Linked DNA regions of Arabidopsis thaliana. The protein of the gene in region 3 interacts with the protein of the main gene of each other region in a pairwise test. Each region holds a gene or a part of one and is shown on either strand. Other genes may lie near its edges.

Region 1 (3,758 bases), on a different chromosome or scaffold from region 3:
GAGAAACAGAGAAGCTGTTGTTATTGCTCCTCCTGCACTTCCACTTCGTCTTCTTCATACTCATACCCTTCTTCCTCATCAGCCGTTGCGTCTTGGTACTGTTGATACTCTGATACCAAATCATTCATGTTGCTCTCTGCCTCTGTGAACTCCATCTCGTCCATTCCTTCACCTGTGTACCAATGCAAGAAAGCTTTTCTTCTGAACATCGCTGTGAACTGTTCGCTCACACGCCTAAACATCTCCTGGATCGATGTCGAGTTCCCGATGAAAGTCGAAGCCATTTTCAGACCTGTTGGTGGAATGTCACACACGGTTGATTTCACGTTGTTTGGGATCCATTCCACAAAGTATGACGAGTTCTTGTTCTGAACGTTGATCATCTGTTCGTCAACTTCTTTCGTGCTCATTTTGCCTCTGAACATGGCTGAGGCTGTCAAGTACCTGCCGTGGCGTGGATCAGCTGCACACATCATATTCTTGGCATCCCACATCTGTTGAGTGAGCTCAGGGACGGTTAAGGCTCTGTATTGCTGTGATCCACGAGATGTGAGTGGTGCAAACCCAACCATGAAGAAGTGGAGACGAGGGAATGGGATTAAATTCACTGCAAGCTTGCGCAGGTCAGAGTTTAGCTGACCCGGGAAACGAAGGCAGCAAGTGACACCACTCATGGTTGCAGAGATGAGGTGATTCAAGTCTCCAACTGAACAAAACCCAAACAAAGAATCCCATTAGCATATAGCTTGATCATACAAATACACTAAATTACTAAATCAACTAGAGGATCTTACAGCTTGGAGTGGTGAGCTTAAGAGTTCTGAAGCAAATGTCATAGAGAGCTTCATTGTCAAGAACCATACACTCATCTGCATTCTCCACAAGCTGATGAACAGAGAGAGTTGCATTATAAGGCTCAACAACAGTGTCTGACACTTTCGGTGATGGGAATACAGAAAACGTCAGCATCATCCTATCTGGATACTCTTCCCTAATCTTTGAAATCAACAACGTTCCCATTCCAGATCCAGTTCCTCCTCCTAATGAGTGACACACTTGGAATCCTGAAGAATCATTCACATCAACAACACACACACAAATCTAAATCAACATCAATCCTAAATATGACCAAATCGATAGCTAGATTGCTAAGTTTCTACACAACTACGAGATCGAAGAGAGCGATTTCTAACCTTGCAAGCAGTCACAATTCTCAGCTTCCTTACGAACAACATCGAGAACGGAATCGATAAGCTCAGCACCTTCAGTGTAGTGTCCTTTAGCCCAATTGTTACCGGCACCGGATTGACCAAATACGAAGTTATCAGGACGGAAGATCTGACCGTACGGACCGGATCTGACACTATCCATAGTACCAGGCTCTAGATCCATGAGGACGGCGCGTGGGACGAATCTTCCGCAACTCGCTTCGTTGTAGTAGACATTGACTCGTTCGAGTTGCAAATCGTTCTCTCCTTGGTATCTTCCCGTCGAATCGATCCCGTGCTCGGCGCAAACTACTTCCCAGAACTTAGCTCCGATCTGGTTTCCGCATTGGCCACCTTGTATGTGAAGAATCTCTCGCATCTTTGATTAGTAAGCTAGAGTATGAAACTACAAAAATTGAGAAAGAAAGAGAAAGAGAGAGAGAATTTGAAACGGTTATGACTTGTGAAGAAATGAAGAAGACGAAGTGGTTGGTTTTATACTAAATAGATAACGGAGACGGGATTTTTCATTTGGGTTGTTTTGCCGGTTCTAACTGTACTGGTTTACGTGAACCGTACCATACTTAACCAGAAAAATCAACTATTGAATTTTCAGTTATTCACAATACATTTTTTTATTGTTAAATTCGAATGCATTTTATTTCTTATGATTTAATTGGTTGTATTTTAGTGAAAATACTACTTTTATGAGTGTTTCTCTGTTTTTAGGAATATAAATTAATTTTTGTTATAACCAATTGAACCAAACCGATAAACTCAAACCGGTAACGTTGGTATTCTTCTTTATTGCCGCCACAAATGACGGAGGTAAGTAACGGCTGTTAGGTCCGTTGGCCCACGACATAAATTAATATCCTGAAATTTACTATTAATAAAACATTTGAAATAAAAATTAATAATTTTTTCCACTTTGCAAATGATTATGATTTTTTTTTTTTTCAAAGCAAGACATTCTGTATATTTTTTGTCAGTATGTGGAGAAAAAGTTTAATTCTACTGCAAAAAGACCCACTGGGAAAATAGAACAAAACAGTGTATTTCTTGAACTTTATTAAATCCCATAATTATAATTTCATGAAGGAAAAATGTTTTCACTTATAAATATAGATATTGCACAATTTGATCCATAAACAATAAATGTTTTTTTTGGTAGGCTGCATTAACTGCTATAAAGTATAAACATCTGCATTATCTGATCTGAAATAATAAGGAAAAAAACAGTGAGGGTGTTGTACAGATAGATCCAGAGTGTGGATCAGGTATTCATTCTCACGTGATGCATGTGAATACTGAAACCTTGAAGATAAAAAGGCTGCGAGATCTGAACAAATTCCTTCTTCTTTTATTTGTTCTCCCGCTTTTTTCTTATTCTTGCACATGAAGCGAACCTTGACAGACACGTGATTGATACCAACGGAAAAGCACGTGACTGGATTACTGTGATGTATTTTATATACGGTAAAACCACCAAGAATAATACACTATATTTATATACGGTAAAATTGTAATACGTCATACGATTTGATTTATAAAGTTTTAGATTTATTAGGGAATTAGGGACGATATCAAACAGAAGAATTCAGGATTAAAGAATTTAGATTTGAATTGTACTTCTTCATATCGTAAAATTAAGACAAATTACAAAGATTGATTTGTTCCACTACTTCTTGGTGATTTGAGATTAGATTCCAATATGTCGAAGCAATCATTAATATGAAATAGTAAAAAGCAAATAAGTAATAACAAAAGATGCACATGTGCAAGTAGATTTTCGTATATACATAGTTTAGTTGTTCAGTGTGCATTCGACTTTAAGATTTATCTTAATTTACTTGTTTGTTTTGACGGCAATCTAGTTTCGTGTGGATGTATTCGAGAGCTTGAACTAAAAAAAAACATAATTTAGTTTTTTTTTTTACGGCAGTCTAGTTTTGTGTGGATGTGTTTGATAGCTTACGCTTTATATATAAGTTTATAAATCATCCAATACTATTGTAGTGCGATGGGTGGGTCTAATCTGAACAGTAACGTGCAAATCACTCAATGATCAACTAGAAATAGTATAAAACAGGTGAAATTTGACCCTACGTGACGTGAAAATTAGAGAGAAAGACAGCAAAAACAGCTTTTAAATGATTATGGCCTATATCAGAAGCAATGTATCAATCTAAAAGAAACATATCAGTCTCAAAGTTAGAGCAACTTGTGGTGTCAGTGAGTAGTAGTGGCCATCAAGTTACACCATCAGTTTCATAACCAACTTAATCTTATACTAACTACTACTCTTCTTGAGCTTAATATTTTCTTAAGGTGATCGTTATCGTTTACCAAATTTAAACTCTCTTTTTAGGCTGGTGTTTAGATACTTAGAATATGGCATGGAAACCTAAGAAACGACATCAGCTCGTAAATAATATTTCATCTTTCTAAAGCTATTACATGAAATTTGGTCATTTTGAGTTTCGTGTGAAATAACCTAAACTTGAAACATAAATCTAGTAATCTACAACATTGGTTATACGTATATAT
Region 2 (3,758 bases), on a different chromosome or scaffold from region 3:
TCGGATTTATGGTTACCTTAACAAAATCAAAGAAGCCTTTCTTCATTGGAACGCCCACTCTAAGCTTCTTCCCTGGAATCTCCCATCCTTTTGGAACAATTTTTGACTTCCCTGGCCATATCACTGGCCCCAACGTTTTTTTGTTTGAACTTGTTGCATCCATGAGTCCATCTCTTGGTGTCCAAAATCCAATAATCCTCTCTTCATTTCCGACAAAATTTATGATCTCAAACTTTGGTGACTGGAGCTGCCCGTCTATGAGTTTAAACTCTCCTGCCAAACCATTGAATCTTACCTCCGAGAAAGCCTTTTGAAGACTTGGACCATAGAGAGAGACCCCTACGTTCCCCAAATCTGTCCTATTTTTTGACAAGGTGCTCCCATTATCATACCATAAGCTCTTTGTGTTGGCTTTCTCCACAGCCTTAGCCAATGCAGTAATTGAATCATATGCCCATAATGCAAAAACGTTTAGATCATCTCTCATCGATGGATTCTCCTTCTCAAATGTTCTTTTCCATCTCAAACGGAAATCTCCGAGCTCTTTCGATTTGGGGACATGGCTCCTCACACCTAACACGCCCTCTATAGTATTTAAGCTACGACCATTGTTTATATGTCTCATCATATGCGTCATTCCATTGGTCATTAACCATACATACCCTTCCTCCATCATCCCGATATCCCTAGCTATCTGAAAAACCCGTAAAGCGAGACTTGATTCCATGTGGACAACAAATACTCTCGCTTGCCTCTCCATGAGCTTACGAAGTTCTTTCTGAATCTCATCATCGATAGCCTCCGGAGGGATCACACTTCTCTTGACTTCCACGTCTTGTAAAGCGTCAAACAAGAAAGGCATGAATCCTTCACCAAACTCGTTGTCCACATAAATTGCGACGACCCTTCTCCACCTAAAGAATTTGAAAATGGACGCAATGGCCCTGACCTGGGATGAGTCGTCGATAGTGGCTCTGACGAAGTAAGGGCTTTTGATGGATGTCAAAAGAGGGCTTGTTGCAGAGAATGTGATGGTCGGTACTTGAGTTTTGTTGGCCAGTTTGATCATAAAATCTGCTTGCATAGAGTTTATTGGTCCGATGATGGCGCTCACTTGCTCGGTTTTGATTAGGTCCAAGGCTGCTTGCACCACAAGCAACATAAAGAAAAGAAGAAAGGTTAAATATCCTCTGTTTTTGGATATAATATCTTCCATTTTCAATGGAAGAGTTACAACTTATAAGGCTAAGCCATGTTTGTCGAGTCCAAAAGAGCTCTAGTTGCAAAGTAATAAGACAATATTAATTTACATAAATAGTTAAAATTGTAGAGGTATCATAAGACATGTCACCAATAGTTTTCGACTATTCATCTAATATATTAAGACTCATGAGTTAAATATAATTAACGAGACTAATAGTAATCAGGATTTCTGCGACCATACAACCGTCACCATGAATTTCTAGAAGAGAAAAAAATTGGACTTCTCTATCAAGAGATTGCTCTTACCATAGACATTAGACCACATAAGAATACACTTGGTTTTTGAAGTATAGTCTAAAAGATAAATCGTCACCAAGACTCTTAGCATATACCCCCATATGATACTTTGATTTTTAATACTGATCTAAAATATTGGTCACATTCAATAAAATAGTAATTAGCTAAACCATGTCTATACGTAATATGTTTCATTCAACCGCAACTAATAAGTAATAAATCAAAATGACGGGAAGCTGAAGCAAGACATAGAGAAGTAACGAACCTGCAGCTGAAGCCTGAACAGTATCTTCCATGGAATCTCTAACGTGAAGCGTAAGTCTTGTGAGGTAATTTGGATGATCCGCGTAGAAATCGGACACGGCCATCTTTATAGAAGTGAGGCAGATCTTGGAAAATGTTGTATTGAGATCAAGAACTACTCCTACTTTGATTTCACTTGTTTGGTTTTGTCCTAAACCAACCCCCATCAACAAAAAACCGCAAACAAAGTAACTCAAAAAGGTGTTATTAGTTTTCATCATCATAATCGCCCCAAAACTGAGGAGACTTTATGTGATTCTTTAACTTACTTTTTTCCTGTTATATATATACAGTGGAAGGATCGGTTTGAAAGATACTTATAATCAATGAAAGACTTTGAAATACTATGCCAAAAATTGGTTTCTCAACGAAAGAGACATATCGATTTTTTTTTAAAAAAAAGTGTGTTGACTAGAAATTAATAAAACTGGTTTGAAAGAGTCAAATGAGGCTTTTGCAGATGAATTCTCTTTGAAAAGCAAACTACAAAATACCCATAACTTATTAAATAACCAAATCGTCTATTTTATAAAATATAAGGATCGCAATTCTTTCTTTTTTTTACTTTTAGTATTGTAATTGACATATTATAATATCATAATTGAAATAATTAAGAGTTAATTGTGCAAAATAAGATTCTTAACCCTTTTTGAGATCTATTTTTGAGGATAGCCTTTCTGAAGAAAAAAACTAATGTTTTATACATCCATCCCATGCTAATGCACGAGATAAATACTATTGTAAGCTTTTCTTATATAAAAAGAATATATACATTTTATCCAGATTTAATGGTAAATTTAAATATTATAATTTTTTAATAATTGTTTTGGCCAACTTTAAGAATTTTCAAATGTGTTTTGCAATAGGAATTACAATAATCGAAATAGGTTAGAGGTAATATTTGGAAATATATGTGTTTTAAAGAGAATAAGAATAAGCAAAAATGTGTTTGGGAAATGTAATAGGATTAAATTAAAAAAAATGGTTGAGAATAATTATATGCTTGCACACAAAAACACTAAAAATAGCTTATATATGTAGATATGTCCATACAATTAACGCAAAAAAATGCAATGAACCGTTTTTAAAGAATTCTTAGAAATAAAATGTATCAAAAATTGTCGTACTACTATAAAATAAATAAATGTTTTATAGAAGAGTGTATCTTGTAGATATGTGTACTTTGGTGGAATTAGCATACAGAAATTAAAAAATATAGGGTAAGTGAAGTGAGTTTCCCTCCAAGATTTTTAATTTTATTTTTTACGAGCAGTCGGAAATTAACGGAATTTTCTTAGTTTGGATTTATTCAGATTTAGTTTGTTCAACTATGCCATACACAATATGATTGTCCGTTGTAGAACAACATTCTCTTACGCATGTTCGAGAATAGGTCAAGAAGACGTATAATATGGGCAAATCGAAAACAAATATTCGTCAACATTATTTTTTCCAAAACAATGAAAATACATTAATCCTAAATTACAGTACATGATTTTGGATATAACTGAAGAATCTACATTTACGTGGGTGATGACGACATAAACAATTTTTTATGGTTGATATACAATAGTCTAATTTCTTAAAATTCTGTTGTGTTGAAGAATTGATTAAATTGAAATGCATTTGGTCCGATTTAAGTCATTAAAGGGTAACTGGAGGACGTTGAGTTGTTTAGCTTGGGTTATAAAGCTAAAAAAGTCTCCAATTCGAAGAGAGGGTTTCGCTAAAGGACAACCACTTCGTGAAAGGCAGTGATTGCTTTTACATAACTATGTGTACCTTTATCTTTCTTCCTCTGTTACGCTTCTTCTTGCTTGAGATTGTGATATTGTAGAGCTATGAGCATTTGCAAATAATGATATAGTAAATTATTGGATCTTTTGGCCGAGATGTAAGAATCACGCATGGTGGATGGATCATGAATGACCAGAGCCCTCTTTCACGACCCTGGT
Region 3 (3,758 bases):
CAAACATTTGATTAAACCGATTAAAAAGCTACTATACATTAACAGCCAAGGGTCGAAGAATAAACAAGACAGTGAATTTTTAAAGCTGTCGTCTGATCCACAGATAGGTGAAAGTTTGATTTCGTTATTAATTAGTGGGAAACAAATGGAGATTTGCTGAAACGTACTCTCGATAACAGTTCATATTCAAGACTCAAGAGAATCTCGTATATTCTAAGGAAGACGTACCTAAACAGAAAGTTGGTCCCAAAAAACGAGAGAAGGAATGAAAGATCAAGGATACATGTTTTATATACATGAAAAATACTAAATTTTAAAAGAAGTATTAAACGTTTTTATAATGTCACCGGAAAGAAGATGTAAATGTATTGATCAAATCATCTGACTATAAAAGTAATTCAAATCACCATTTTTTTAAATCAATTTGAATATTTGATGAATTTCCGTATATAAACAATCAGTCCCGCTCTTGCTGTATAAATGAAACGTCTATCAAACATTAGCTAGTCTTGTACTGGATTGCCTTTACAGACAAAAGATTATACTGTATATGTATGTGGTCTCATGCAAAAAAAGTAAAAATGATTCTGTGTACATCTGTTTTGATTTGCATATATATTGGCTTAAGTGGCAAAGGTGCATGCACTATTTCTATTTCTTTGATAAAAGTTTTATGATGCATGCATTCTTACCAGTGATTTCTTTAAAAGGAGAAGACATTTGTTTTGTAATAGTGACGAGAATGTAGACAGAAAAGGAAAGGAATCAGCACGTGTTCATCGCTCGACACGTGGCCAATAATAGCATTGGATTCAGAAAAAAAGAAAAAGAAAAAAGCGAAAAAACCTGTATAACAGGAAAAAAATACAATCTGCACCAGCCGGGAATCGAACCCGGGTCTGTACCGTGGCAGGGTACTATTCTACCACTAGACCACTGGTTATTTATTTAAAAGATTTATATTGGTATAAAACCTTGACCATAAAATGTTCCTAGTGCATCCACTAAGATCAAATTCATATTAATAAACAAAAACATAAAATTCAAACCGATATAGCAAGATTGCTGTTAGTTTTGTCTTCTAAATCTGATAAGTGTTCGTTATTGTCGAGGTTATGTAGCTAGTTTATATATTACTTGTACTAAATTTCAATAGGGCAATCAAAATATACGGATTTTCATGTGTATATATTTTTCTAAATTTGCGGTTTACAAAGAAAAGTTAGTGGTTGATCATATTGATTTCTTGAAAGGGAAATATTACCAATAAAATGATAAAATTGCCAAGAAAAATTAGTAGTACGATCGATAATTTAGTGATATTGGGATCCAAAGAGATGATCATGCACTTAGTTAAGACTCCATTTTCTGATAAGAGTTAAGTGGCGGTAGACCCACAAAGAAATTTGATTCGGTATTGTTATTATTGAGTAGAAAAACAAAGATGGAGTGTTTAACTAAATCATGTCTAATAAGTAGCAAGGTAGGTCAATATAACGTTTTACAAACGAAAAATAGCATTGCATATTTAATTATCTACCAAATATCTTAAGTCAGTCGAATAAACTAACTCATTATGTTATCAAATCAGCCGCAAATTGTGCCGTTTAAGTCAATACTATTTTTAACTTAGATATTTAGTGAGTAGACTTCATACTTGCATAGTCTAGTAGTTATCATTGTTTAATGCAATTTTTTGGTTTTAATGTAAACTTATACTACTATTTGGTCATGTAATCTCACTTTCTAAAAAACCAATGTAATCATCCATAATAGAAATAAAACATTTATTTAATATAATTAACTAATTTTTAAACATTAAAAAGAATAGATTTATTTTTATACATAAAATAATAGAAATATAAATATATATATATATTATTATAGGTTGTTTATTGTAATCCAAAAGCAGAATAAAATTTGGGATAGGTATTAAGAGTCATAAATCTTGAAAATAGAGTCATTAATTAATAAAGCTGAAAAGGAAAGATTAAAAAAAGAAGAAGAATCCTCTAAAATTGAATTTGGTAAGAGTCCACGTAGGTCAAGAAGAAGAAGAAGAAGATGTCGTGCTCGTGTTGTGTTCCAAACGAAAAGCGTCTATGTTCTCTTCATGTACCGTTTCTGGGTCCCACCCCCCTTTCCTTCTTCACTCTCCCCCCAATTCCTCCCTCTCTCTCTCTCTCTCTCTCTCTCTCTCACCAAAACGTAAATCTACTCTCTCTATCGCAGCAGACACAGAAAAAGAGAGAGCGAGAGACTCTGCTCACACACATATTTACTTCCCTAACTTGTCTCTCTCTCTACACATTCTGGTGAGTTTCGTAAGATTCAACAATCGTTTAGACTTCTTCTTCTTCTTCTTCTACAGCTTTTACGTTTTCTGGAAAAGAGATTTTTGGCTGATCACTACGTTGCAGGTATATGATTTCTCAAATGTGAGATGGGTTTGATGTTCCTTTTCGCTATTTCTCATCTGATTTTGAATTTTCTGCGGATTTTGTGAGGAATCGGTAGATTTTGATGTTTGTTCTTGTGGGTGGTTCATAACTTCATACATTTAGGGGATTAAAAGAAAATTAATTTACAAATTCGGTCCTTGTTGTGAAAAAGATTTATAATCTAAAAGACATTAACTTTACTCTCTCCTTGAACAAGTTTTGAATTTTGAATCTTTTTCTGATTTTGATTTTCACTATGTTCATAGGTAATTGCACAATTCTGGGTATACAAAATCCAAACGTTACGCATATTGAATTGAAAAATCTCGATTTTGAGTTCTGGGTATGAATAAAAATCTCACCTTTTTAATTAATTCTTACTCAGGGAAACAGTAATCGATGTTAAAGACATTGTTAGTCCAATGGCTTGTCTTCTTCTTCTTCTTCTTAATCGGTTCCGTCGTCACCGCCGCAGAAGACGACGGTAGCTTGTCGTTATGCAACTGCGACGACGAAGACAGTCTCTTTAGCTACGAGACAATCCTCAACTCGCAAAAAGTCGGCGACTTTCTTATCGCAATCGCTTATTTCTCGATCCCAATCGAGCTGGTTTACTTCGTGAGCCGCACCAATGTGCCTTCACCTTACAATTGGGTGGTCTGCGAGTTTATAGCCTTCATTGTTCTCTGCGGCATGACCCATTTGCTCGCTGGTTTCACCTACGGGCCTCACTGGCCTTGGGTCATGACAGCTGTCACTGTCTTCAAGATGCTGACTGGTATCGTCTCTTTCCTCACGGCACTCTCGTTAGTCACTCTCTTACCATTGCTTCTTAAGGCTAAGGTTCGTGAGTTTATGTTGAGTAAGAAGACCAGAGAGCTTGATCGTGAGGTTGGGATCATTATGAAGCAGACTGAGACGAGTTTGCATGTTCGTATGCTCACTACCAAGATTAGGACGTCTCTTGATCGACACACCATTCTATACACTACGCTTGTGGAGTTGTCCAAGACTCTGGGGCTCAAGAACTGTGCGGTTTGGATCCCGAATGAGATCAAGACGGAGATGAATCTTACTCATGAGTTAAGACCGAGGATTGATGATGAGAATGAGAATGAGCATTTTGGTGGTTATGCTGGGTTCTCGATACCGATTAGTGAGTCTGATGTTGTGAGGATTAAGAGAAGCGAAGAGGTGAATATGTTGAGCCCTGGTTCTGTGCTTGCCTCAGTGACTAGCCGAGGGAAGTCAGGTCCTACGGTTGGGATAAGAGTCCCTATGCTTCGGGTTTGTAACTTTAAAGGCGGGACACCAGAG

Evidence for each region.
Region 1: the proteins of ERS2 (region 3) and TUB8 interact in a protein complementation assay, tested with the Arabidopsis thaliana proteins (one large-scale study listed by BioGRID).
Region 2: the proteins of ERS2 (region 3) and GLR2.9 interact in a protein complementation assay, tested with the Arabidopsis thaliana proteins (one large-scale study listed by BioGRID).

Annotation. Positions count from the first base shown.
Region 1 is NC_003076.8:8,040,791-8,044,548, reverse strand, and holds the start of TUB8 (tubulin beta 8), read right to left. Parts: upstream 1,697-3,758; 5' UTR 1,588-1,696; coding exon 1,194-1,587; intron 1,065-1,193; coding exon 795-1,064; intron 707-794; coding exon 21-706; 3' UTR 1-20. UniProt on the Arabidopsis thaliana protein: Tubulin is the major constituent of microtubules, a cylinder consisting of laterally associated linear protofilaments composed of alpha- and beta-tubulin heterodimers.
Region 2 is NC_003071.7:12,502,892-12,506,649, forward strand, and holds the start of GLR2.9 (glutamate receptor 2.9), read right to left. Parts: upstream 2,054-3,758; 5' UTR 2,028-2,053; coding exon 1,766-2,027; intron 1,141-1,765; coding exon 1-1,140. UniProt on the Arabidopsis thaliana protein: Glutamate-gated receptor that probably acts as a non-selective cation channel. May be involved in light-signal transduction and calcium homeostasis via the regulation of calcium influx into cells.
Region 3 is NC_003070.9:1,156,208-1,159,965, reverse strand, and holds the start of ERS2 (ethylene response sensor 2), read left to right. Parts: upstream 1-2,152; 5' UTR 2,153-2,420; intron 2,421-2,826; 5' UTR 2,827-2,840; coding exon 2,841-3,758. UniProt on the Arabidopsis thaliana protein: Ethylene receptor related to bacterial two-component regulators. Acts as a redundant negative regulator of ethylene signaling.